Linked DNA regions of Elephas maximus indicus. The protein of the gene in region 2 purifies or fractionates together with the protein of the main gene of each other region. This does not show direct contact. Links are inferred from orthologs where the notes say so. Each region holds a gene or a part of one and is shown on either strand. Other genes may lie near its edges. The genes, in order: CNOT11, TNKS1BP1, CNOT6 and CNOT10.

Region 1 (6,980 bases), on a different chromosome or scaffold from region 2:
GACACCTTACCAGAACGGATCAATTCCTAGAGAAGGACATCATGTTTGGTGAAGTAGAGGGCCAGCAACAGTATGGGAGACCCTAGGTGAGATGGACTGGCACAACGGCCACAACAATGGAATCGGACATGCAGGTGATCAAGAGGATAATGGAGGACCAGGCAACATTTCGTTCTGTCGTGTGTAAAGTTGCCAGAAGTCTGAGTCGGCCTGACAGCAGCTGACATCATCAGATGCTTACCCTCGACGTACAGTAACAGAAGTTCTAGGAGTGGGCTGGCAGACACTGAGACTTCCTCTTCTGTGTATTTACGTACCATCTGTACCTACTTCAACAGTGATGGGAACAACGGGTAACATCGTAGGGACTTTTACTCTTCGTAACAACCCTGCCAGGGAGGAATTATGATTATCTGCATTTTACAGATAAGAAACTGAGTTGCAGAGAGGTTAAATAACCCATCCAAGAATTCCTTCCCTAGCAACTGCCTCAGCTCCATTGGCAAATTTGTAGGTACAGTACAGTCTATGGGCTGGGATTTGGTTTAGAATCACTGCGTTTGAGAACTGCATTATACAAATGAGGGTTCTTTCGCCTGACCAGCCCTTCAGAATTCAAAGGGCCCTCTGACGTAAATCCTACACTGTCCCCATCCTATAATAATGGCACCCTAGGGTGGTTGGTGGGTTTTGTCCTCACACACACATGCTGCATTCACTTTTGAGGGGTTCTCAAACTTTCTAAAAGCCAGGTTGAGTACCAGTACCCTAAGAGCACCTCAGTCCAACAAAAATGGTGCCTTTCTTAGACAAGAACAGTGCAAGAAACTCATCAGGAGGTACTTGAGATCCAGAGGGGCTGCCAGGCAGAAGACTGATGAGCCTAAAATGTAGAAGCCCTCACATGCCACCAAAAAGCCCCCAGGGAATATCTCAAAAGCTGCTGCCCTAACCATCTCTCCGTATAGCAGGCTCTACCATAGGGCAACCTACCGTCTCCCACGGGTTACGGGCTACAAGCTGTTCTCCCTTGTTTACCTGCTTCGCCACTACACTTGTCCTCTTCTAAGGCCCCTAATCCCTGTCACCATCCACTCTCTACCCTTCTCCTCTCCTGGCTGCAAGACTTCACCCAAAGTCAATCCCCACAAAGCACTGGCTGCTCGAGTTCTAGAAACAAACAGAAAGTGCAGCCTGGCATCTAACCCACTGACCTGATCTTACCAACGCTGCACAACTACACGGTTTACATCGTTCAGCAGTCCTGCATTTTCTAATCGGGGTCGTCTGTCTGAGACTACCTCCTATCCTCTGCCCCCATCCTATTATCCAAGGTCGACCAACCGGCTGCAAAGTCTTTAAACGCTGTTTAACCACAGGTTTAGCTTCTTTGGGTTCTTAATATTGACCTCCATTTACTCATCCGAGAGTTAAAACCGGGGCCAGATCCAGTTGTGTCTTAATGCTTAACTTCAGACACTTCAAATGGGCTGTAGAAAACGAACCGTTTTTGAGGCACTGAACATGGCCAGCCTCACACAGAGCTGCACGGGACACGTCGAGAGGGCTTATTTCCAGCCCCACGAATCTGTAATTAAGTTCCCTCTCTCAGACGTGAGAACAGATGGGCCAGGGGATAGTCTAACTTCACGAAACCCAAACCCACTGCCGTCGAGTCGATTCCAACTCATAGCGACCCTACAGGACAGAGAAGAGCTGCCCCACAGAGTTCCCAAGAAGCGCCTGGCGGATTCGAACTGCCGACCCTTTGGTTAGCAGCCCCAGCACTTAATCACTACGCCACCAGGATTTCCATAACCTCACAGGGAGACTTACTGTCACTTTGGACGAATTCCCAAAAGCGCAAGGGGAAAACGGCCGAGCCCATCCAGCCACCCAGCCACCCCCGGGGCACCGGCCGAGCCCAGCCACCCAACCACCCCCCGCCCCCGGGGCACCGGCCGAGCCCACCCACCCCCCCCCGCCCCCAGGGCACCGGCCGAGCCCACCCACCCAGCCACCCCCCGCCCCCGGGGCACCGGCCGAGCCCACCCACCCAGCCACCCCCCCGCCCCCGGGGCACCGGCCGAGCCCAGCCACCCAGCCACCCCCCCCGCCCCCGGGGCACCGGCCGAGCCCACCCACCCAGCCACCCCCCCCGCCCCCGGGCCACCGGCCGAGCCCACCCACCCAGCCACCCCCCCGCCCCCGGGCCACCGGCCGAGCCCACCCACCCAGCCACCCCCCCGCCCCCGGGCCACCGGCCGAGCCCACCCACCCAGCCACCCCCCCGCCCCCGGGGCACCGGCCGAGCCCACCCACCCAGCCACCCCCCGCCCCCGGGGCTCCGGCGCAGAGGCGGCGCCCACCTGAGAGCGGGGGCCGGTCGGGCTCCTGGCCGCCGCGGGCGGGCGGCGCGGGGTTGAGCAGGTGCGCGAAGCTGGCGGCGAAGGGGTTGGCGGCGAGCGGCTCGGTGCGGTACATCTCCCAGAGCAGGTAGAGCGCCGTGAGGCGCTGCGCCGCGCTGGGCAGCAGGTCGGGCTGCTGCAGCAGCATGACCAGCACCGAGCCCAGGCGGAAGTGGTCGGCCTTGCTGAAGTAGTGGTGGAAGGCCGTGGACAGGCCCTCGAAGGTGCTGCCGCCGCCCGCCTCCTCCGAGATGATGCTCAGCAGGCTCGACAGCTCCTTCGGCGTCAAGCTCATCCTGCCCGCGGGGCCCCCGGGGCCTCCGCTCCCCGGCCCGGGGACGCCGGCTCGAGCGCCTCTGCCGCCGCTGGAGACTCCCGGGCCGCTCCTGGACGCCGACCCCGCCGCCTCCCGGACCCCGCTTTGCTCCGCGGCGCTGAGAAGCCGGCCAGACGCCGCGCTCGTCCCGCCACCGGGCATCCACCTCGCCCGCCTGCCCTGCTTCCTGGCCGGAGTGGCCCTGGCGCCGGCTGGCTCCGTCCCCGCGGCCGTAAAGCGTGCTGTGGCACGACAGCGTCGCAAACAAAACACGCCGGGAAAGCCAGAGCGCCGCGGAGGCAGCGCCGAGCGAGAGCGAGGCTGTGGAGCGAGGCCGCCGGAAGGATCGGGAGGCGTGGGATGGGCGGGCTGGAAGCGGCCGGAAGTGGGGGCGGGGCCGGAGGGGGCGCGCGGATTGGGCGGGCGGGTCGTGGCTCGTAGACGTCACACGGCGGGACAGCCCGGCGAGCCTGGGGTCCGCCTGCTGCCAGTGCCTGCGCTGCTGGGAAGGCGGGCTGTGTAGGCTCCCCCGGCGCAGTGGTTGGCCGGACGGTCCCGATAAACAAACCAAAAATCAAACCCACTGCCACGGAATCAATTTCAACTCGTAGCGACCCTGTACAGAGTGTAACTGCCTCCTAGGGTTTCCAAGGAGCCGCTGGTGGATTCCAACAGCCGACCTTCCGGGCAGCAGCCAAGCGCTTAAAAACTGCACTCTCCCTCCCCCCAATAAGTACTGGCTACTGTAGTGTTTGGATTCTGTGTAGTTTTCTTAATATAACATCCATGGCTGTTCATTGTAAAAAATTTTAAAGCGTATAACTAACCAAACATTTCCCATATCTAAAGCTAATTTGTCTTATGCTGTCATTTGCAGAAATGGAATCCTTGCCGTTTGGCTATGCTACTTTTTACTTAGTCTGCCCTATCCTGGCTGCGAAAATGCTAATGTTTGGTCCAACCCAAAGATTCTGATCCAGGCAGCTAAACAAAACAAGCCTCCCACGTGACTCTAACATGCTCTTTGCCAGACTTGTGTTTCGGTATAACTCATAGCGACCCTATATGACCGGGTAGAAGAGCCCCATCGGGTTTAAGGAGGAGCTGGTGGATTCAAGCTACCGACTTTTTGGTTAGCAGCTGAACGCTTAACCACAGCACCACCAGGGCTCCCAATTGGCTCTCAACTATGCTATCAACTCAAGTAGTTAAATGCCTCCTTAATTCTTAGGGAAATTTTAAGGGAGAGAAATTGCTGGGCCAATGAGTATGCATATTTTGAAGACTTCTTCAATTTCCTGCTCAGTTGCCAAAGATCCCACTAGCCAATTAACATTCCTAACATCAGCAAAGATAATTTGCTAATGTTTGGAACATTGGGGAACTGGGTCAGTTAGCGTGAAAGTACTCTTGTTTTTATTCTTTTACTATAATAAACATAATTGTGTTTGAGCCATTACATTCTGGGGTCTATTTGTTACAGCAATTAACCTACCATACACAGGTTTTACCGTTTTGTATTTTCAAGATGCTTTAAAATATTTGAACATTATTGATTACAAAAAAGAACTAAGTATTGTTCTTTCTGTGGGAGTATTTTCAACATGAACATGACATCAGACTTTGCTTGTGTTCCCACAAACCAGTTCTCAGGCCCTAAGCCATCATCAGCATAGGTTTCGGTGGTCCTCCTTCATACTCACCTCATCCTTGCCCTCAGACTTCCCACCTGCATTTGGTCATTTAACAAGTACTGTTTTGGGCACCTGTTATCTATGAGGAAACCCTGGTGGCACAGTGGTTAAAGTGCTACAGCTGCTAACCAAAAGGTAGGCAATTCAAATCCACCAGGCACTCCTTGGAAACTCTACGGGGCAGTTCTACTGTGTCCTATATGGTCGCTGTGAGTCAGGCAACAGGTTTGGTTATTATCTACAAGTTGGAATCCTACAGCAATGGATTTGGTTTTGAGCACCTTTTATCTGCCAGACAGTGCTATAGGCATTGCTGAAAGGCCAGGGACAAAACAGAGGCATTTTTTGGAGCTTAGAGGAGTTTGGTGGCCCCGGGAGGCCTCTTGGTCAGCAGCACAGTAACAATCAGTGCAGGAACCCCCAGGAGAGAATCATCTTCATCTGATACTTGAGTTTACTATATAATTGAAATATCCCACTGAAACCTTTAAAACTCTTTATAAAATAGAACACAAATTTTCTTTTCTTTTTAGACTGTGTGTACAGAACACAATTTATCCTTGTTATCATTAGAAATATGCTGTAACAGAGTAATGTCTTAGTTATCTAGGGCTGCTATCACAGAAATACCACAAGTGTGTGGCTTTAACAAACAAATCTATCTTCTAACAGTTGAGGAGGCTAGAAGTCTGAATCCAGGGTACTGGCTCTAGAGGAAGGCTTTCTTTCTCTGTAGGCTGGCAGAAAGGCCCCTTTGAGCTTCAGCTCCTGGGAGATCTTCATGAGGCTTGGCTTCTGTCTTCCCCCATCTCTGCTTCTTTTTGCTTGCTTGTTTAATCTCTTTTATACCTCAAAAGAGATTAACTCAAGATATACCCTAATCCTGCCTTATTAACATAACAAACATAACCTAATACTCATTGGCTAGATCTTGAAACGTTCTTTTTGACAATGAATGCAACACCATTCCTCTTCAAGTTGTCATTCCCAGCATAGTAGACTATATGATTGTCCCATTCAAAATGGCCAATGCCAGTCCATTTCAGCTCAATAATGCCTAGGGTATCGATGTTTATGCATTCCATTTCATTTTTGATGATTTCCAATTTTCCTAGATTCATACTTTGTACATTCAAGGTTCCGGTTATTAACAGATGTTTGCAGCTGTTTCTTCTCATTTTGAGTTGTGCCACATCAGCAAATGAAGGTCCCGAAAGCTTTACTCCATCCACGTCATTAAGGTCGACTCTACTTTGAGGAGGCAGCTCTTCCCCAGTCATCTTTTGAGCGCCTTCCAACCTGGGGGGGGGGGTCTCATCTTCCGGCACTATATCAGACAATGTTCTGCTGCTATTCATAAGGTTTTTACTGGCTAATGCTTTTCAGAAGTAGACTGCCGGGTCCTTCTTTCTAGTCTGTCTTAGTCTGGAAGCTCAGCTGAAACCTGTCCTCTGTGGGTGACCCTGCTGGTATCTGAATACCAGTGCCATAGCTTCCAGCATCACAGCAATACACAAGCCCCCACAGTACAACAAACTGACAGACACCTAAAGTACAACGCTGTCAATGATAGGATAGTATCCATATGCCTACAAGGAAGACCAGTTAATACGACTATTATTCAAATTTATGCACCAACCACTAAGGGCAAAGATGAAGAAATAGAAGATTTTTATCAGCTGCTGCAGTCTGAAATTGATCCGACATGCAATCAAGATGCATTGATAATTATTGCCGTTTGGAATATGAAAGTTGGAAACAAAGAAGAAGGATCAGTAATTGGGAAAGATTCCCTTGGTAATAGAAACAATGCCGGAGATCAAATGATAGAATTTTGCAAGACCAACGACTTCTTCATTGCAAATACCTTCTTTCACTAACATACATGGACCTCACCAGATGGAACCCACAGAAATCAAATTGACTACATCTGTGGAAAGAGATGATGGAAAAGCTCAATATCATCAGTCAGAACAAGGCCAGGGGCCGACTGTGGAACAGACTATCAATTGCTCATATGCAAGTTCAAGCTGAAACTGAAGAAAATCAGAGCAAGTCCACGAGAGCCAAAATATGGCTTTGAGTATATCCTACCTGGATTTAGAGACCATCTCAAGAATAGATTTGATGCATTGAACACTAGTGACTGAAGACCAGACGAGTTGTGGAATGACATCAAGGACATCATCCATGAAGAAAGCAAGAGGTCACTGAAAAGAAAGAAAAGACCAAGATGGATGTCAGAGGAGACTCTGAAACTTGCTCTTGAGCATCGAGCAGCTAAAGCAAAAGGAAGAATTCATGAAGTAAAAGAACTGAACAGAAGATTTCAAAGGGCCTCCCGAGAAGACAAAGTAAAGTATTACGATGACATGTGCAAAGAACTGGAGATGGAAAACCAAAAGGGAAGAATACACTGGGCGTTTTTCAAGCTGAAAGAACTGAAGAAAAAATTCAAGCCTTGAGTTGCAATAGTGAAGGATTCCATGGGGAAGATATTAAAAGATGCAGGAAGCATCAAAAGAAGATGGAAGGAATACACAGAGTCATTATACCAAAAAG
Region 2 (6,840 bases):
TGAGGGATCCTGAGATCCCTGAGCCTTTTCTTCCATTGCCCAGTGCCCATGACCCCAAGGGGCGCCTGCTGGCCTGCTCTGAAGAAGTGTACTTAATGCAACAGTCTCCAGTCCAGCCATAACCTGTGTGTTCACACTCTCTGGTATGTGCAGTCTTAACTCTCCCATCAGACTCCTCCTCTGGCAGAGACTGTACCTGCTCATCCTGCTGCCCCTCCCACCTCAGGCCTGGCACACTGCTCCGCCCACAGTACAGGCTTCAGAATCAAACAGACCCGAATGCAAATGCCAGCTCTGCCTCTTACTTGCTGAGGGAATGTGGGAAATCGTTTTTTGATCCTCAGTCTCCCCCTCTACAAAATGGGTCTAAGTTCCTTTCACCCAACAGATGGTTGTGGATTAAAGGGGACAAGTTTGGAAAATACCTATCTTAAGTGCCCAGCTCTCAGTGTATAGAAACTAAAAGTAAATTTCTATGTTAGACATTTGAGCTCTCTACAGTAAACATGCAGCAGCTCTGTAAGCATGGTCCCAGTAGTATGTTGCTGGAGGAGTACATCTGTGACACTTAGACCAGGGTGTACCTGCACTCAGAGCACACAACTTGCCTAGAGGTGAAGCTTGCGGCCCCAGGGAGCCACCCACGGCATCCTCAGTACCCCCGGCCTCCAGGTACAACAAAACATATGACCTCCCCACCCTCACCTCTCCTCAGGGGTCTTGCTATGCTCTTCCTGGCTCTCCTTTGGAGACTTCAGGGGCCCCTCCTGGGACCATCCCCTGGAAACGGTCCCGCCATCCTCAGCCCTGGGGCTGGTGACAACGCCGTAGGTCCTAGGGCCATAACGTGAGCTGCCATCGTGGTTGAAGGTGAGGCGGGAGCCCCAGAGGCGGTCAGGGCTGGCAGGAACCTCCTTCCGAGGCTGTTCCATCTTGGCCAGGATCTCTTCCACGGTGGTGGCTGCGAAGCGCTCTGAGGCTGGACGGAATGGGGCCGGGGCCTTCCGAACGCCGCCCAGGGCAGCACATCTCGCTGGAGGGGTCAAGGGGGGCACCTCCTCTTTGCCAGCCTCCTCCTTCCCAGTCCCTCGAGTGGATTCTCCTCCATCAGGGGCATCAGCAGTAGGCCTTGGTGCAAAGGGGAGGGGACGTTTGCTGCCACCATAGGGCTGGGGTCCCGCCAGCATGTTCATCTTCCGGGCAGAAGGCAGCTCAGCCAGAGGGCCCCGGGGGGGCCGAGGCCCTACAGGCACCAGTAGGCTGGGCTTGGCAGGCAGGGCTGGCTTGGTGGGAAGGGCCCGGGGCTTGGGCTTGACAGGGGGTTTGGCCCGAGAGTCACCTATCAGAACAAAATGGTTGGGGGGCAGCTGTCAGAACAGCGAGGAAGCAGAACTTCTTGTGTTTCCTGTTCCACCTCATCTCCCACCCTCCCATCTCAGAATGTTCACATCCTTCTAGGCACAATTCAAATGCCACCTCTTCCACGAAGCCTTCCTTGATTTCCCACATGCATCCTAAGAGCATCTTCTCCCGTCTCCAAACTTCTAAAATGTTTAGGCATTTCCCCCGTATAAGTTACTGCTATTTAAGGGCCCAGCTGGTACCCTGTTTGGTACCTAACACAAGGTCTTATCAAAAGAAAGAAAAAATGAATGAATGAATGAATGAACAGGCAAAAGTGTCCATAAATAAATGCCTGACCACCCATATCAAGCCATGTGGCCAACCATCCCCCTATCTAGTCCTCCCCCTTGTATTCTGGGATACTCTTTTATCGATACTCTACTATCGCCCATGACAAAACTCTTAAGCCCAGCTGGGCTTCCGGGCCCTGCCTCCCTGCTGCCCCCGCCCCCAGTATACTCCCAGGCCACCTCCCCACTGTCATCTGGTAAGATCAGGAATGCAAATTTACTATTGACCTAAGCCAAACAGAAGTCAATCTGCTACAGCAAAAAAACAAGACCAGAAAACTGCCTTCTATATAAGGCATTCCAATGCCAAAGAAAGACCTTGGAATTACTCATGGCCACCTCCCTTCTAATAGAATCCGGTATGATCCCCATTCAGCTCAGTGTAAGAAAGCAGTCTAGACAGAGAGCTAGGAGGCCTGGGTTCAAACCCCATCTCTCCCTTCTGGGCCTCAGTTTCCCCTCGATAATACATGAGGCTTGATTGATCACATCATCTTGAAGAGCCCTGTCTGCTCTTACCTGCTGGGGGCTCTATGCATCTCAAACAGCCCCAGATGGTCTCAACAGCCTCTTCCGAAGGGGCTGAGACCTTTACAAACTCATCTGGACGTCCTCACTCCCACCTCAACAGAACCATTCCTGGCCCACCTCCACAAAAACAGAATGGGGGTGTAGTCTCTGCCCCTCCAACCCTCCTCCTCAGCTACCCGCCCCACCCTGCACCCATGGGTACCTGGCTCAGAGCCAGTGAGCACCAGCTCCTCCTCCATCTCCCGGGGCGGTGGGGAAGCCATGGCTGTGCCTTCCCTGAGAGTTGAAACTTTCATCACATGCGGCAGACCCTGCGTGAGATTCAGGGAGCAGAGGGGCATGAGCTGGGGCAGCTGAAGACCCAGGAAAAGAGAAAAAGGAAGAGAAGGAAAAAAAAGTTGGGCGTTGGCAGTAGGCTCAGCCAAGGGAAGTCTCCTAGCACAAGGCAGAGAGTGGGACAGGAAGAGGGAACTTCCGAAGGAGGCTGGGGGAGGTCAAGGGAGGACTCCAGCTGCCAAGTCCTCTCCTCTTCCCAGCTCACCCTCCAACCAACTCTTTCCTCCCGACCCCAGAGTCCTGGACCTTCAGGGAGCCACCCACTGCTCCCTCTTCTGGCAAGCTCTCCAAGTCACCCCACTTACCGTTCCCAAGGCACCCCTTGGGTCCAGCAGCCCCGCTGGAGTTACCTACTCGAGGTAAAACAAGGAGGGCCAAAAAGTCTGAAGTCTCCCAGTGAATCACCTCATGGGAGACGGGAAAAACCCGCTCCTCCCCAACCTGGGGCTCCGCCCCACTGCCTGCCTCCCCCTTCCCGCTCACCCTCCTTCTCTCCCTCCCTCCTCCAGCTGGGAGTGGTTCCCTCTCCCCCTGCCACCCCCCTTCCACATCCCTGCCCCTCTCCCGCCTCCCTCAGAGCCGTCTAATCCAAACACGGAAAAATAAGGAATAAAAAGTAAACATCTGGAATATATTTTTTTCTTTAATTTCTCAATCGCTTTGGCTTCAGCTTAGAATTTGATGAGGTAAAGCCAAGGCCTAGTCCTGTTGCCATAGCAATGGCCTCCCACTGGATTTCCAGAGCCTTGCCAAGAGGAAGGAGGAGCCGGCCCAGGCCTGGGCTGGGAGAATGGGACAGGGCTTGAGAACATCCGGGGGGTGGAGTGGCTTGGGGGAAAACTCCCTGGGGTTCCCCCTTCTAGGACACCCAGGTTGAAACAGCCACAGCCTATGAAAAAGGGAGATAAGTGGGCATCACTCACCAGCCTAGAGATAGCATGATGGGATTTTGAGGGGGGTGAGGAAAAAATTAAAACAAGAAACACAGTCCATGGTAGAATCCAAATAGGTATCCCTCTTCCATATCTATAACAGGTGCTTTGGGTCTGAGAGAACCACGATTCAAATGCTGGATGGGTCTACCACTTTGTAGCTATGTGACCTTGTGCACATGGCTCACTTCTCTAATCCTCGGTTTCCCTATCTAAAAAATGGGGCTATCGTGGCTGTTGGGGGGCTTAAGTGAGGTACCCATTAACCATTGCCGTCGAGTCGATTCCAACTCATAGTGACCCTATAGGACAGAGTAGAAGCGCTCCATAGGGTTTCCAAGGCTGTAATCTTTACGGAAGCAGACTGCCACAACTTTCTCCTGTAGAGCAGCTGGTGGGTTCGAACTTTTGATCTTTTGGTTAGCAGCTTAACCACTGTGCCACCAAGGCTCCTTTTATGCATGCAAACTGCTTAGCACAATGCCTAGCACATCATTAAGTGTCCAATAAACATTAGCTATTATTACTATTATTCCATTCACAGTCTCACCAATGAGCGAGCATCTCAGGTAACCACTTCCTCATCTCCCTGGACCCCAGGCTCTCAGCATTCCCATTCTTTCACTTCCACACACCGCAGTCATGTCACCTGTAGCTCAGATACTCCACCACCTCCTCAGTTCCCATCCTGGCTCCTGGAGCACCATCCCACCCACAAGACCCCCCAGGCACTCCAGCCTGGGAGATAGAGCCCTGCCCCTTGAGGTCAAAAGTAAGAGGAATGTTTCCTACGCACTTAGTGCTCACAAAGCACATGAAGGCAGCAACCCAACCCTTTCCGATATGCAAGGGGCACCACCTCCCACATACACTCCAGCTGGTCTGAGAAAAGACAGCACCAAACCCTAAGAAGGGGGCTCTGGTGCCCAACCATTGCAAAACCTATCCCACTTACCTGTGCCCCTGCCCCACTGTTTCAAACATAAGAGAGGATGTGTGAAGGGTAGAAAGAAGCCCAGGGCTATCAACTGGTCAACCAGTTAGTCGAGAACCACCCAGGGCTGCCCACTGGGTGGGAGAATAACTGAGCAGGTCCCTGTCCAAGTGTGCATGGGGGAGGAGCCACAGGACAGAAAAAATTAAATTAAGAAACACGAGATCGTTTACTTGTCCTTGAACATTATTACAAGGGACATGGTGTGGGTGGTTAGATAGAAATGGAGACAAACTGGCCCAGAACCGAAAAACCCTTTCACCTGGGGGCCTGATGTGGACCTCTGGGGTCTGAGAGGCTGCACCATGAAAGCAGTCATGAACGTGAGAACATGGATTCCCCAATTGGGGAGGGGGCCACAGCAGCTCAGAGGCCCCAGCCAGGAGCTCCAGGTGACCAGACCGTGACCAGAAGCTGCAGAATCGGAGCGGCTCCCGACCACTCCCTACCCCCAGGGGTCCCGGGGAGCCGAGCTGACTGATCCCTGGCAAAAAAGGCCGCCAGAAGGGCTGGGGAGGGGCTGGGAAGCTCGAGCCCAGGGCAGGGGCCTTGAGGCGACTCGGCGCAGATGGGATGGTCCCTCTGGACCCTGGGATCTCTGGCCGAATCTGGGGCCAGAGAGGTCAGCAGGGACGGCATGCGAACTGCTGGAGGAGGGAGGGCCAACCGGAAGGCGGAACAGCCCGGGGCGAGGGGCCGTCTGGAGGGGCCCAGTGGGGAGCTCTGGACACAGAGGGGGCGGCGGCAGCTGAGGAGGAGGAGGAGGAGGAGGAGCAGAAAGCAAAGCGGAGGACCTGTGCGCGGGATGCGAAGCAGCCGGAGAACAGATGGAGGACTGAGGACGCGGACCGGGTGGGGGCGGCCTGGGGTGGCTGGGGGCGTGCCGAGGGGCCGGAGGAGAGGAGGGAGGAAGGGGTCACCCAGCACCTCGGCCCGCCCCAGGCCCTCGCCCCCTCCCCCCTTTCTTCTGGCTCCTGCAGCACGAGATGCAGACTGTGCACCCTTCGCCCCCGCGGCCACGCGTCAGCTCCCCTGTTAGCTCGCGGCCCCCGGCCCCTGAAAACTTTCCCTGAGACCCCCGCCCCACCTCACCCAGAGGTCCCAGCAGCAAAGCGCCCACCTCTCCTATGCCCCTCCCCTGCCCCATCCCGGACCCCGCCCCCTCCCTCGCCCTACCGCCCGCCCCCGCTCACTCACGCGCTCCCCGGGGATGTGGCTCCGCTCGGCTAGGCGCCCCGACGCCAGTCCCCACCGCCGCCGCCGCCGCTGCCGCCGTCACCGCGGGACCGAGCCAGAGCGAGCACCGGCGGGGCCCCGCCCCTAGCTCCGCCCATGACCACGCCCCCAGAGCACCTCATGAACATTCATAAACCGATGCAACCCCGGGAGTGGGAAGCCCTGACGGAACTCGCCCGACCAAATGCAAACAGCGCCGCCCTGGTACTCAATTATTCATGAGTCTTGCAAATGAGGGGCCCGCCTCAGCTCGGACCCGGCGAAACTGACGCAATTCGGGAGTTTGGAATGCTCGGGCAAGATGGCCACCGAGACGACCGCCTAGAGTGGAGGCTGCCTTAGGGCGACCCGATACGCGAGCCCAAGGGCCTGTACTGATGGCAGCACCATAGAGTCACGGCAAGAAAGAAGGTAGCCGTTGGCGGACCGGAGAGGCTTCCTGTTGCCACCCCCGGAGTCCTCCTGAGCACGTACGCAACGTGGCCACCCCACGTGTGTAAATTCAGATTTAGAGCCACCGGGAGGAATACGGTGGCAGCCCTGCTTTCCTTTCTTTGCTTATCCTCTGCTACGCTACCTTCCCAAATATCGCTCCTTCCCAACCCCCAAATTTAGTATCCTCTCCCTTAAGAACAAAAGGTTTACATACTCCATCATATTTTTTCTGTGCCCTATTAGACGTGTACGCGCGCACACGCACAGACACACACCCTACTCATCTTCCCCAACTCTCCAGGCTCAGGTTTCTACTCTCCTGGTTGCAGGGAAACTGGTCAATTCAATTACCTAAAGCCTGATTCAATTACCTAAAGCCTTTGAAGACCCTTGACTCATAGGTGATTAAGGATGGAGCCAGAGGCTGCCTCCTCTTAGCCAGGCTAATGGAGTGGAACTGTGAGAGAGACTTCCTAATCAGATCAGCTCTCATTTCTACACTCTCAGGTGGCCCGTCCCGGCAGAAGAGCGTGAAAACCAATGCTTGTCCAGCTGGAAACAGAACAGGATGTACCTGAAGATTGCTTCCCAGCTGAGAAGCTGGGCCAGGGCGATACAGTAGACAACACTGGGAAAAACGGGCGCCATCCGACAGGGCTACAGAGAAGGCACAAGGACGTGG
Region 3 (7,128 bases), on a different chromosome or scaffold from region 2:
AATGGGGAAAAAGACTGAGGTTGTCAAGGATTTCATTTTACTTGGCTCCACAATCAACACCCATGGAAGCAGCAGTCAAGAAATCAAATGACACATTGCATTGGGCAAATTGGCTGCAAAAGACCTCTTGAAAGTGTTGAAAAGCAAAGATGTCACCTTGAAGACTAACATGAGCCTGTCCCAAGCCATGGTGTTTTCAATCGCCTCATATGCATTTGAAAGCTGGATGCTAAATAAGGCGGAATGAAGAATTGATGCCTTTGAATTGTGTCACTGGTGAAGAATATTGAATCTACCACGGGCTGCCTAAAAAATGAATAAACCTGTCTTGGAAGTACAACCAGAATGCCCTTGAGAAGAAAGCATATGTCTCACAAACTTTGGACATGTTATCAGGAGGGATCTGTCTCTGGAGAGCATCATGCTTGGTAAAGCAGAGGGTCAGCAAAAAAGAGGAAGACCCTCAACGAGATGGGCTGACACAGTGGCTGCAACAATGGACTCAAGCACAGCAACAATTATGAGGGTGGCGCAGGACCTGGCAGTGTCTCACTCTGTTGTGCATAGGGTTGGTATGAGTTGGAACCGACTGGGCGGCACCTAACAACAATTAGGAAAAGTACTTTCTCTATTCAAGTGGAGTCGCTGATAGAATCTAAGCCTGCAAGTGTTGTCGGCCACAATTCCTACCTGACCTTGAAGACTATGAGGGTTAAGGTTGGGTATCAACTTAACTCGACCATGATTCTGTGGTTTTGCAGTTGTGATGTAGTTTGGCAGCTCTGTGATGATGTTATCACCTCCATTGAGATCTGATGTAATGTAATTACCTCCAAGATGAAATGTTATGATCAGCCAGTCAGTTGAAAGGGAGCTTCCTTGGGGGTGTAGCCTGCATCCAATATAGGTGGACCTTGTGGCAAAGCTCACTGTCTTTTGCTCGCTCTGGATCCTGCAGCTGGCTCCTGTTCATCTGACCTCGAGTTCTTGGGACTTGAGCTAGTAGCTTACCAGCTGATCTTGGGATTCACCAACTTCTGCAGCCTTTGAGCCAGAGGCCTGCTGCCCTGCCAATCTTGGGCTTGTCAGCCCCTGCAGCTGCATGAGTCAGAAACCTTCAGCCTAATCCACGGATTTGGGACTTTACAGCCTCTACAACTGCGTGAGCCATTTCCTTGATATAAATCTCTCTATATGTATTTATACTCTTCACTGGTTTTGCTTCTGTAGAGAACCCAGCCTAAGATGAAGCCTGTTTGAGGAGGTAAGCAGAAAGGAGAGCCGAGTGGAGGGTGGGGGAATGAGATTGATCCTGATGACACCTATGTTGCCTCAACTTTTCAGTTATGTGACACTCCAAATCTGTCTTGGAAGAAGTGCAGCCAGAATGCTCCTTAGAGGCAAGGATGGCAAGACTGCGTCTTACATAGTTTGGACATGTTGTCAAGAGGGATCAGTCCCTGGAGGAGGACATCATGCTTGGCAGAGTACAGGGTCAACGAAATAGAGGAAGACCCTCAACAAGGTGGTTTGACACAGTGGCTGCAACAATGAGCTCAAGCATAACAAAGATTGTAAGGATGGCTCAGGACAGGGCAGTGTTTCGTTCTGTTGTGCACAGGGTCGCTATGAGTCAGAAGCGACTCGATGGCACCTAACAACAACTTGCAATGGGAGGTCTTGCCTAACATGAGAGGAATTTTGATCTGTATCTGAAAAGGTGAGTAGGCATTTGGTCAGGTTCTCTTCATATATTCTGGAAGACCAGGACATGCACAGGCAGGCCACCATTAGTGCCCTTCTTGTGGTAGCCAGTCTACTCAGTTTGCCCCAAATAAGTCCAACACTCCCCATGTGTGCATTCAGCTCCTTCACAGCTCTCTTGTCCCTCCTCTTGAATGTGGACTGGGGCTGTGACCGCTTTGACCAATAGAATACAGTAGAAGTGAAGGCCTGACTGTCCACTTCTTCCCTCTTGGAGCTCTGAGTCACCATGTAAGAAATCCAGGCTCACCTGCTGGAGAGAGCCCACGCAGAAAGGCCAGGAGGATGAGATACTACAATGAGAGGCTTCACTGGGTAGCACCAATGTGCCAGACTTCCAATCCAGCTACCATTTGAGGCATGGGTATGAAACACCTCAAGTGAGACCAGTAGAAGAAATGTTCAGCTGAACTCCAGAATTGTGATATAATTAAATTGTTTTTTGCCGCCAATACACACACACTCCGCAAATCAAATCACAAAAAGTAGCCCACTCTGGAAGGATGAACTGCAAAAAGGCTGGAGTACAGGTTGCCAGGGCTCAGAACACACATAAGGAGGAAAGGCATCACTTGGCCCCACAGCTTAGTGATACTTTATATTGGACACCTGCTGCATAACCCCAGTGTCCACTAGTCCTGGAGGCTGGATGTTGTGGGGGGATGCCCACAGGCAGCTGGTGCATCTGTATTTGTTCTTATCAACCCTTTAGCTCTACTAGGCTTTTGCACTGCCCTGCCTTTTCCCATTGTTCTCAGCACTAGGGGCCTATGCTGTTACTGGTGATTTCTTGCCAGATAGCAGGCAAGGACCATCACAAGGCCATGTTGGGAGAGGTAAGAACAAAACTCAAATAGCTTTTGTCCCTTAATCTTTTCATTGCCCTTCCAGCCTCCTGCCCCCCTACCCTGGGGAGTAGCCACTCCATTTCCCACACTAGATCAAGACAGGTTTCAGTGAGGGGTGTGTGCCTATCGATTTGTTGCTATTGCTAGTACCTGGAGCTGTTTCACTTTCACTTCTTAAAGGCTGATTTTCTGGGAAGGACCAGTAGCCCTTAGTTTGTCATCTAGGTGAGTGGGAAGCTATTTCTTTTCCCTCACGCCATGCATGCATCTCCAACGGACTCCAAGTATTTCTTGCCCCAATATGGTGGGCTTACTCAGAGCAGAGTGGGTGGCACCTAACAACAATTAGTAAAAGTACTTTCTCTATTCAAGTGGAGACGCATAGGGCGGGGCCTCAACTATCAGTCAACTAGTGTGGTGGGGTAGTGGTTAATACAGTGGCTGCTTAACCAAAAGGTCGGCGGTTTGAATCCACCAGCTGCTCCTTGGTAACCCTACGGGGCAGTTCTACTCTGTCCGACCCCTTGCCCTTGAATCGATTCTGACTCACAACGACCCTATAGGACGGAGTACAACGGCCCCACACAGTTTCCAAAGAGCAGCTGGTGGAGTCGAACTGCTGACCTTTAAGTCAGCAGCCGAGCTCTTAACCACTGCGCCATCAGGGCTCCGGTGCCAATTCTTTCTCTGCTAACCTTAGGTCACCACAGTTGGCCCTGCATACAGTTACTCAGGCTAGGACCGCTCCGCCCAAACTGTCTGTTAATTTACAGGGCTGAATTACTATTAATGGACTGAAACGGCTCACTAATTTTTCTGCATAATTGAGGCAGGAAGAATTAAGCGACTCTTCACGACCGAATTTCTAGTTTTGGGGCACCTTAAGGTGTTTCCACGTGATGGACAGAAAGCCTAAGGAAAAGGGAGAGGTGAAACGAAGGGGGGGGGTGGGGAGATCAAGGAAAAAGAAGGAAAAGAGGAAGCAAAAGTGAACAGTCTGAGACAAAAAGAGAAAAACAAACAAAAAAACCCCAAACCCACTGCCATCCAGTCAATTCCGACTCATAGCGACCCTATGGACAGCGCAGAACTGACCCAGAGTTTCCAAGGAGCGCCTGGTGGATTCAAACTGCTGACCTTTTGGTTAGCAGCGTAGCACTTAACCACTACACCACCAGGGGTCCCAAAAAAAGAAGGTAAATGGAAAACGGAAGAACGGAGAAAACAGAAGCGACCAGAAAGGAGAGCGGGAAGAGGAAACGGAGGGCAGGCGGGGGAGCGCTCCGGGCCGGCTCACCCTCCCCGGCGCGGGGGTGAAGGAGCCTGGAGAAGCGGCATGCGGGTGGCGGCCCCCGTCGGACGCCGAATGGTAGCGTCCGGCCACGGCGACCAATGGGCGACCGGGATGTTGGAGCGGCGGCCGCAGTCGGGGCGCTCGCTGGCTGGGGGACTGCGGCCGCCGCCATGATGCTTGTTTGCTTTCAATGAAAACGAGGGGGGCGCGGAAGAGGAGGCGTCGGCGTCGGTGGCGGCGGCGTCGGCGGCGCGGAGGCGAAGGCGGCGGTGGACGCAGCGAGGGGGGTAAAGCCGGAGGCGGAGAAGACAGGAGGGCATAGTGGCGACTAGTTGAGGCGGCTGAGGCGGGCAGCTGAAGCGGTGGCGCTCGGAAGGGGAACAAAGAGCGGCGGCTGAGGAGCGGCAGTGGCGCTGCAGCAGCGGGCGGGACTGGTATGGTGGTTCCACAGGTCAGACCCCGCTGCACTCAGAGGGAGGAGGCGGCGGCAGCGACGGAGGAAGGCGGCGCACCCCGAGAGGTGAGCGAGACGGCCCGAGGCCTGGCTGGCGCTGCTCCCCGCACTGGCCGCGCAGAGGCACCTGTCCAGTCTTGCCTTCGGGACCGGAGCCGGTGCGCGCCGGTGTCTGTCGAAAGCAACTTTTGTGGGTGGCAGTCCCCCCTGCTTGACCGAGCTGCTGGCTTTGGGGCTCCCCCCTTGACGCGCCGCGGTTGTGATCCCGCCCCTCGCCGGGCCGCGCCCCCGCGTGGATCTGGGGCGGGGGGGCGTTGATTGACGGCGGTGGCGGCGGCGCGCTGAGGGTCGGGGACTGGCGCGTCTGGTTTCGGGACCGGGCTCATGCCACCCGGAGGACGCGAGCCCCTGTCCCAGGACTCGTAGTCAGGGTGGGTGGTAACTTGAGCGGAGTGGCTGCGTTCATCTAGGATTGCGAGCTGGGGAAGTGTGGAACTTCGCACTACGCGGCCGCAGTTACCACAAAGCGGGAAACCAACTGTTACACCCCTCCCCCATCAATTATTTAAAATTAATTCAGTTGGGAGACAGACGTTTTTGGGGATGGGGCACAATGACATTGTTAACGAAACGCTTAGCATCAGTTGAAATTTCTTCCTGTAGTCTGTTGCTGAGGATTCGGAGATGGTCTTCCACGATACTAATTACTGGAAACAGTTTTCTCTAATAACCGGCATCATATCTTTTCGTCTTCTTATTTTTAAACCATAGTCGGTATATTCTTTGGAAACCTTCCTCCCCCCGCCCCGCAACTCTTTCACCTTCCCCAAAGGGCCTGTATTTTCAAGTGTTACTGCAAATGACAGCATTGTGAATGATCATATTGCTTGACCTTCTTGGATTTGTTATTGTGCTGAGCTGAAATTGTTTAAATAATTTGCTTGAATTTGAGTTCCCATGCTTACCTGTTTCCCGGATGGATTGGCTCATTATTGCTAGTGCCGAATTTTCTTGCCTCTTGATGTCTGGGAGTGTGAATTTTGGAGGGGAAGAGAGTGAATTATGAATAAGAGAAAAAAGGTGTGTGACAGGACTTAGTGTTTTTCACGTTACAGTAGAATTTACCGTTACAAAGCAGTTTTGTAAGCTGTAGGAATTGAAGTTTTGTAATATCAGATCAGTATCACAGTCTTCTGAATGTGATAAATTTTAGAATAAAACTTGCTTAATTTTTTTTTAGACTAGTGATGTAGTCCGGTCATCTTGCTTTAGACAAAATATTTGATTACCTACTGTTAAGGAAACTGAGACCTAGGAAGATTAGAGCGACTTGCCCAGGATACTATACTTAAAGAGGGTAGGACTAGGTTTTGTGTATGAGTGCATGAGATTGTGATAAAATTGCTGGAGATTTGTTTTAATGGACACATGTTATTTAAAGCAAGCATCCCAACCAGTGTGCCTTGCATATAGGAATGGGTTACAAGTGTGCTGAAGATACTGATCCCCTCAGCCCTTGTGTGCCAAAGGCTCTAGCTGTGAGCAGCGTTGACCATTTATCTCAGTATATCTTAGATATATTATCCTTTTATGCTGTGCTATGACAGAAAAAATGTTTATGCTTTACAGAACATAAGAAAGCTGAGTATAGTGAGATGCTTAACCATTAACCAAAATACATGCATATTATGAGTTCAATGGGCAAATTACTACAACACCTTCATTTACAGTCAGGACCAAATACTATCAGTTCACTTCGTGTCTGTTCAAAAGTTAAGAGTCTGAGATTTCTCAATAATTGTAGTCTTACTTTGCCACCAAGTTTCATCTACAAATAAGCATTCAAAAGGACTTTCTTAAGCTATGTTGCTGCTGATCAAGACATTTTTAATAATTATACAAGGGTAGAGTTCCAAGAGAAACTTCAGAGTCACACAAGAGAATTTATGTATTTGATCACATCCTCTTTTTTGACCATTTCATTAATCAGCTTATTCACTGGAGAATTAACCAGTCTCAGCTACCTTAACCCTTTCAGGACCACTTTTTGTACCTCTGGGGTTTATTGGGAAGCTGCTGACTCACAAATAATGTGTGCTGCTGGCAGGCAGGGCCCTATGCAACAGTTTGAAAGGAAAAAACAGGTGTGTACTGCAAATTACTGTTTTTACAGGGTATTGTGTGAGGTGGTGCTGAATCATTGAATTTTTGGCAGGAGAAGCATGAATTCTGAAAATTTTTATTTGGTACACATTATGTACCTCTGGATTCCAAGAGTACGATTTGTGGAATGAGGCATAAAACAAAAACTGTAATACCTACCAAAAATCCAGATACACTCAATGATTCATATTGCTCTCTATTATAGATTCATATTGCTCTCTATTATAGATTCATATTGCTCTCTATTTCTCTATTACTGAAAATGCATAGTATCAACAAAAAATTAAAAGGAAAAAATAATTAGGTCATGAAAGGGTTAAGGCATTTATTACTTTGGAAAAATCCAAATATATTCAGCTAAGAACATATTTTATCTAGAAGAGACTTGGATTTCTGGGGATGCAATGCTATTTACACTTTCTTTGTGAGTGGAACTTAATGTATTTAGAAAAGAAGGTTCCCATTTTAATTTCCAAATCCCCTCGCTTTCACAAAATTTTTTACTGATTAACTTTACATACTTTACCCACTATCCGCTTTAGGAAGGTGGCCGTTTTACAATGAAGTATGACTAATAAAAGCATTAATCAAAATACATATATGGA
Region 4 (7,131 bases), on a different chromosome or scaffold from region 2:
ACCAGTAGATATTTCATGCATTAACTAAAAGACCAGTGACAGTGACCACTGCAAAAATGTGACTCCGACATGTAAGAGTAAAGTCATCAGAGACTATCGCCCTGGGATGCTCTTTAAACTTGGAACTCAAACCACTCCCAGAGGTCACCTCTCAGCCAAATGACAGACTGTCCCATAAAATAAATAATATCACCTGTGAGGACTGTGCTCCCCAAAATAATTATCCAGGTGAAATCAAAGGCTTAACATTTACCCTAGACAAAAGATGAGAAGGCTAGGGGGGACAGGAAAACTGGATTAACGGAAACAGAACAACTAAAATAGAAATAATAAGAACGCAGAAATATTGTGAAGAATGTAACCAATGTCACTAGACAATATGTACAAAATTTGTTAAATGAGAACTTAATTTCCTATGTAAACTTTCACCAAAGACACAATATATAAGAGTAATGTCATCATTTGTGACTTAAAGAACAACTTCAAAGTCTCATGATATTTGGATTTCTTATTTACATGTTCACTTTTTATTACAAAACTAATAAATACATATAAAGTACAAAGCGGCTCTACAATCTCTACCCCGAATAACTGTCAACAGTCTGACCGCACTTCTATCCCACTTTCCAGGATTTTTGCTCTGACCCCTCTTTCACATTTGCAAACCATCAGGTACTTAGTAACAGTAATGATCAATTACTTTAATAATGTGTTGAAATGGGACGCAGGATTACAGGACCCCAGAAAGCACAGGAGGGGGTTAGGTTGAAGCTCAACCCTCAACTTATCACATTATATTGATGATAAAATTTTAACAATGAATACAAATACTTTTTACATGTTTCTCTTTCCATTTAAGAGTTTAGGAAACGCAAGTTCTTAAAAAATTACCTTTCCCCTATAAGTAAGTATGGAAACCCTGCTGGCATAGTGGTTAAGAATTCGGCTGCTAACCGAAAGGTCAGCAGTTCCAATCTACCAGGTGCTCCTTGGAAACCCTATGGGACAGTTCTACTCTGCCCTATAGAGTCGCTATGAGTTGGAATCGACTTGATGGCAACAGGTTTGGTTTTTTTGGTTTGTAAGTATGGAGCCTTCGTGGCATAGTAGTTAAGGGCTCGGCTGCTAACCAAAAGGTCGGCAGTTCGAATCCACCAGCCGCTCCTTGGAAACCCTATGGGGTAGGTCTACTCTATCCTACGAGTCGGAATCGACTTGATGGCAATGGGTTTGGTTTTTATGGTGCATATTTAAACCAAATGCCAAAAATTCTTAGCTTGCCATCAAGTTATCTTTATAGCTTGTTCCAAAATATGCCCCTTCTAGACCAGATGACATTCTTTAACGGGTCTTCTGGGCCTAACTGTTAGAGACTGACCATTAACTATAGGGCACAAGGATGCACTCAACAATTCACCAAGGAGTCAAGGAGTTTAAGCTTCTATTCTCCGTGAAAAGCAGAGTGGTGCATGTGGCCACTGCTGTCGTCATCCCCTAGGGACTGCAAGTCTCCCCAAATTCTCCAGGAAAGGAAAGAAGCCAGGTTTTAAATAAATAAGCTGGACTTTAAGCCTGACAAGAAAATCTGTGATTCTTGTATCTACACCTGTTTCAAAGAACTGAGCTCAATAAATAACCTTTTACATGTTAACCAACTGTTATTTTACCTAAATTCTTTCACTTTAGCATGAAAATTTACTGTTTTTTTTAAAAATACACTATAGTGAGAACGCTCATTTTCTTTTTATCTTTTTGCACTTTTCAAACGTTCTATGATAAATACGTATTTCTCCTATAATTGGTTTTTAAAATTTTTTAAAATCATTATTTGTAACTGCTAATTTCTTACCAGTTAGAGCCTGCACGTAATTCCACAACATTTCTTTATTTGTCCAAAAGTAGTCCCCATTGCCAATTGAAAGAGAATATGATGATGGGTCTTTCAAAGGCTTGACTTTCCTTTTACTCTGACCTAACGAACATGGCTGACCTAGGCAACCCGAGCTCTTTGCCTCACAAATCTTGACAGTCTTCAAGCCGACAGGCTTCATTTCTAACCAAACGAATGCCTTTAGGTATGAACTAAGTGGAAAAGGAACACGCTGCTTTTTCAAAACTGAAAGCCAGTTAACTGAAAGCAGAGACGCATTCCAATACAGAACACTAACAATTCAAATCTGATTGGAGCATGAGCTTCCGCGCAACCTACACTTGTCAATACGTAGCTCCAGTGATGTTCAAGAAAAGATAATTTTTCAAAGAAAAAAGGAATGCATTAAGATTGACAGAAATCTGCAATGTTTGCAAAATACTGACATGCCTTTGTGGAGAAAAGTTTTAACAAGGATGCCATTTCAAAGAAAAGTAATCCAGGCTCACCAAAGTCACCATATAGCTGAGGCTCACATACCTCACGTGTTCCTTCTAGCACCTAAACAACAAGTATACCTGAGGTATGAAAACTCCACACACAGATACCTGACCTCTACATAACTCAGAGAAGTAACAGGGGACCAGTGGAGCTACCTTCCAGAAAGCAAGAAGTACTGCATAAGCCACGTTTCCTTTTCACTGTAGGCTGGACGTGAGGAGCTGCAAAAATGGAGAGCAGACATTGCAGGGCCCAAAGGATACGCCATTCATAACCAGCAATGCTACAGAGGTGGACACCTTGCCTAGTGCTTCAGAAAGAAAGGAAGTGAAGTCCAAATCAAGAACATCAGCATGCTCTGGGGATAACCAGCAAAGCATACCCACTCCCACTGCCAGTGAGTATTTTTATTTTCATATCTGAGAGCAGTTTTTATGCATAAAAAAGACTGAGATTTACTCTAGGTTTAAACATTAATATTAGATTTGTTGAAGTTATAAATTAATAAAGCCTAGATTTTCCTCAAGCTTTTACATTCAACTTAGACATCTTATTACCCTATTTAAAGGTCTAGGAAACCTGCGTCGATTTTAAGCGGCTGTAATGAATATTTGATCTCATTTACAGAGTTAAGCTCTTTCAAACAAAATTTTCCCTACTTTAAAATCTTTAATATGTTCAATTTTAGGTACAATTGCTTGACTTAAAACATTTTCTGAGAACTTAAATACATTAATTTATAAATCTAAGAAATGAGATGGATAAATACAGTAACTCTTAGGTACTCTTTGATGTTCCATGCAATAATACAAATATAGTAAGGACTTGACTTAAATTCACAACTATAATCAATTACTCACTCATTTATACATTTTTAATCACAATAACAAGATTAATACACTGCTCCAAATTCTTAAACATTAAACATACTTAAAATATCAAACATAAGCAAGATAGTGGCATCAGCAAAATGTAACATCTTAATGGCATTAGGTAAACTTTCATTTTCTAGTCACCTGCACTCAATCCCCTCCCTAGTTTGGCACGGCCACCTTAAAGCCACAATGGTCCACATTCCCAGAGAGAGAGCCTGGTCTCTGGCTTTAGATACGGCAGAGCAGACTTTGTTGTATCTGATCTAACCTGTCCGAGGACTGCCTCAAGGACTAAAGCAAGGTGCTCATCTTGGTTTGACACGTCTGGGCTGAGGGGCAGTAGGGAACTCTGAAAAGCTGTAGCTGCCTGTAGCTAAAGAATGCAATTAAGGCACACAACAGGCACCTAAAGACTGGAAGGAAAAGCCAAGAAAGATTACTTTTGTAAAAGAAGACTTTCAAAAGCACCTTGTATATGGAGGAATTAGCAAGGCACACGCTCAGAAATTACCTTTGAAAACCATACACTTTCACGCTGGGCTGTCCTATAGGCTCAACACAAACCTGGCTAAGTGCTGAAGGAGGGCCCTAGCACAGAACCAATTTGCAAAGACAAACAGACATTACTGCACTACCCCCACCCCGGGCACTCAAGGAAATCTGTCAAAAAACTAGCTGAACACAGTTAAGGAACAGAGACTTCAGGGTCTACATATGTAGAGAAACGTAGTCTTTGCAAAAACAGTTAGGGGAAGTCTCTAAATAAATGGATTACTACAGTTCTAATGATTTAAAACAAACAATAAAACCCCCAACAGCCCCAGGGAAGGGGAAGAATCTGATTTCCAGAATTACCATAACAGTCAGATGACCTGGTTTCAACAGAAAATCACAAGGCATTCAACAAAACAGGAAAGGATGACTTGTTCAGAAGAATAAAGTAACAAAAACTGTCCATGCAAAGAAGCCTCGGATAAGCAAAGCATTACTGAAAAAGAAGAAGAAAAGTGGGAGCCCTCACTCTACCTGATTTCAGAACCTATTATACAGCCACAGTAGTCAAAACAGCCTGGTACTGGTATAACAACAGACATGCAGACCAACGGAACAGAATGGAGAACCCAGGTAAAAATCCATCCATGTATGAGCAGCTGGTATTTGACAAAGGCCCAGTGTCAGTTAATTGGGGAAAAGATAGTCTTTTTAACAAATGGTGCTGGCATAACTGGATATCCATTTGCAAAAAAAATGAAACAGGACCCATATCTCACACCATGGACAAAAACTAACTCCAAGTGGATCAAAGACCTAAACATAAAGACTAAAACGATAAAGATCATGGAAGAAAAAATAGGGACAATGTTAGGAGCCCTAATACAAGGCATAAACAGAAAACAAAACATTACCAAAAATGACAAAGAGAAACCAGATAACTGGGAGCTCCTAAAAATCAAACACCTATGCTCATCTAAAGACTTCACCAAAAGAGTAGAAAGACCACCTACAGACTGGGAAAGAATTTTCAGCTACGACATCTCCGACCAGCGCCTGATCTCTAAAATCTATATGATTCTGTTAAAACTCAACCACAAAAAGACAAACAACCCAATCAAGAAGTGGGCAAAGGATATGAACACCTACTTCACTGAAGAAGATATTCAGGCAGCTAACAGATACATGAGAAAATGCTCTCGATCATTAGCCATTAGAGAAATGCAAATTAAAACTACGATGAGATTCCATCTCACTCCAACAAGGCTGGCATTAATCCAAAAAACACAAACTAATAAATGTTGGAGAGGCTGCGGAGAGATTGGAACTCTTATACACTGCTGGTGGGAATGTAAAAGGGTACAACCACTTTGGAAATCTATCTGGCATTATCTTAAACAGTTAGAAATAGAACTACCATACAACCCAGAAATCCCACTCCTCGGAATATACCCTAGAGAAACAAGAGCCTTCACACAAGCAGATATATGCACACCCATGTTTACTGCAGCTCTGTTTACAATAGCAAAAAGCTGGAAGCAACCAAGGTGTCCATCAACGGATGAATGGGTAAATAAATTGTGGTATATTCACACAATGGAATACTACGCATCGATAAAGAACAGTGACGAATCTGTGAAACATTTCATAACATGGAGGAACCTAGAAGGCATTATGCTGAGCGAAATTAGTCAGAGGCAAGAGGACAAATATTGTATAAGACCACTATTATAAGATCTTTAGAAATAGTATAAATTGAGAAGAACACATACTTTTGTGGTTACGAGGTGGGGAGGGAGGGAGGGTGGAAGAGGGTTATTTACTGATTAGTTAGTAGATAAGAACTACTTTAGGTGAAAGGGAAGGACAATACTCAATACACAGAAGGTCAGCTCAACTGGACTGGACCAAAAGCAAAGAAGTTTCCAGGATAAACTGAATGCTTCAAAGGTCAGCAGAGCAAGGGTGGATGTTTGGGGACTATGGCTTAAGGGGACTTCTAAGTCAATTGGCAAAATAATTCTATTATGAAAACATTCTGCATCCCACTTTGAAATGTGGCGTCTGGGGTCTTAAATGCTAACAAGCGACCATCTAAGATGCATCAATTGGTCTCAACCCACCTGGATCAAAGGAAAATGAAGAACACCAAGGTCACACAATAACTATCAGCCCAAGAGACAGAAAGGGCCACAGGAACCAAAGACTTACATCATTCTGAGACCAGAAGAACTAGATGGTACCCAGCCACAACCGATGACTGCCCTGACAGGGAGCACAACAGAGAACCCCTGAGGGAGCAGGAGATCAGTGGGATGCAGACCCCAAATTCTCATAAAAAGACCAGACTTAATGGTCTGACTGAGACTAGAGGAATTCCGGCAGTCATGGACCCCAAACCTTCTGTCGGCCCAGGACAGGAACCATTCCCGAAGACAACTCATCAGACATGGAAGGGACTGGACAATGGGTAGGAGAGAGATGCTGATGAAGAGTGAGCTACTTGTATCAGGTGGACGCTTGAGACTGTGTTGGCATCTCCTGTTTAGAGGGGAGATAGGATAGAGAGGGTTAGAAACTGGCAAAATTGTCACGAAAGGAGAGACTGGAAGGGCTGACTCATTAGGGGGAGAGTAAGTGCGAGTACGGAATAAGGTGTATATAAGCTTATGTATGACAGGCTGACTTGATTTGTAAACGTTCACTTAAAGCTCAATAAAAATTATTAAAAAAAAAAAAAAACTGTCCGTGGGAAAGCCCAGATGACGGACTTTAAAACAACAGTATTAAACATACTCAAAAGGTTAAAAAAAAAAAAAGGAAATCAGGAAAATGATGTATGAATAAAACGAGAATAGAGACTATCAAGAAAAAGACAGACATTATTTTAAAAAAGAATGAAAAATACCAGAGCTGAAAAGAATAACTGGAATGAAAAATCCACTGTAGGGGTTCAACAGCAGATTTGATCTGGCAGAAAAAAGAACCAGTGAACACAAATATAGGACAATTACTATCAAGTCTGAGGAGCAAAAAGAAAAGAGAGTGAACAAAAAGACATCCCAATTAAAAAATGGGCAAAGGACTTGGATATGTCACCAAAGAAGATATACGAATGGACCACAAGCACACAAAAAGATGTTCAACATCATTAGTCATTAAAACCAAACCAAACTCACTGCCACTGAGTTGATTCCGACTCATCGTGACCCTACAGGACAGAGTAGAACTGCCCCACAGGGTTTCCAAGGAGTGGCTGGTGGATTTCAACTGCTGACCTTTTGGTAATAGCCAAGCTCTTAACCACTGTGGTTATGTGGGTGAATGTCCTTACTTCTAGGAAATGCGTGTTGATGCATTTAGAAATGAAGTGCCAAGTTGCCAATAACTTAT

Evidence for each region.
Region 1: the proteins of TNKS1BP1 (region 2) and CNOT11 purify together in Homo sapiens (affinity purification with mass spectrometry; 5 studies listed by BioGRID and IntAct, counting the BioPlex papers as one, with this or other methods). This does not show direct contact. The link is inferred for Elephas maximus indicus from reciprocal best matches to the Homo sapiens genes TNKS1BP1 and CNOT11.
Region 3: the proteins of TNKS1BP1 (region 2) and CNOT6 purify together in Homo sapiens (affinity purification with mass spectrometry; 3 studies listed by BioGRID and IntAct, with this or other methods). This does not show direct contact. The link is inferred for Elephas maximus indicus from reciprocal best matches to the Homo sapiens genes TNKS1BP1 and CNOT6.
Region 4: the proteins of TNKS1BP1 (region 2) and CNOT10 purify together in Homo sapiens (affinity purification with mass spectrometry; 4 studies listed by BioGRID and IntAct, with this or other methods). This does not show direct contact. The link is inferred for Elephas maximus indicus from reciprocal best matches to the Homo sapiens genes TNKS1BP1 and CNOT10.

Annotation. Positions count from the first base shown.
Region 1 is NC_064835.1:84,609,660-84,616,639, forward strand, and holds the start of CNOT11 (CCR4-NOT transcription complex subunit 11), read right to left. Parts: upstream 3,020-6,980; 5' UTR 2,887-3,019; coding exon 2,370-2,886; intron 1-2,369. UniProt on the Homo sapiens protein: Component of the CCR4-NOT complex which is one of the major cellular mRNA deadenylases and is linked to various cellular processes including bulk mRNA degradation, miRNA-mediated repression, translational repression during translational initiation and general transcription regulation.
Region 2 is NC_064825.1:118,733,430-118,740,269, forward strand, and holds the start of TNKS1BP1 (182 kDa tankyrase-1-binding protein), read right to left. Parts: upstream 3,002-6,840; 5' UTR 2,867-3,001; intron 2,579-2,866; 5' UTR 2,567-2,578; coding exon 2,428-2,566; intron 1,340-2,427; coding exon 706-1,339; intron 1-705.
Region 3 is NC_064820.1:202,907,974-202,915,101, forward strand, and holds the start of CNOT6 (CCR4-NOT transcription complex subunit 6), read left to right. Parts: upstream 1-4,107; 5' UTR 4,108-4,426; intron 4,427-7,128. UniProt on the Homo sapiens protein: Poly(A) nuclease with 3'-5' RNase activity.
Region 4 is NC_064845.1:6,926,937-6,934,067, forward strand, and holds the start of CNOT10 (CCR4-NOT transcription complex subunit 10), read right to left. Parts: upstream 3,009-7,131; 5' UTR 2,052-3,008; coding exon 1,850-2,051; intron 1-1,849. UniProt on the Homo sapiens protein: Component of the CCR4-NOT complex which is one of the major cellular mRNA deadenylases and is linked to various cellular processes including bulk mRNA degradation, miRNA-mediated repression, translational repression during translational initiation and general transcription regulation.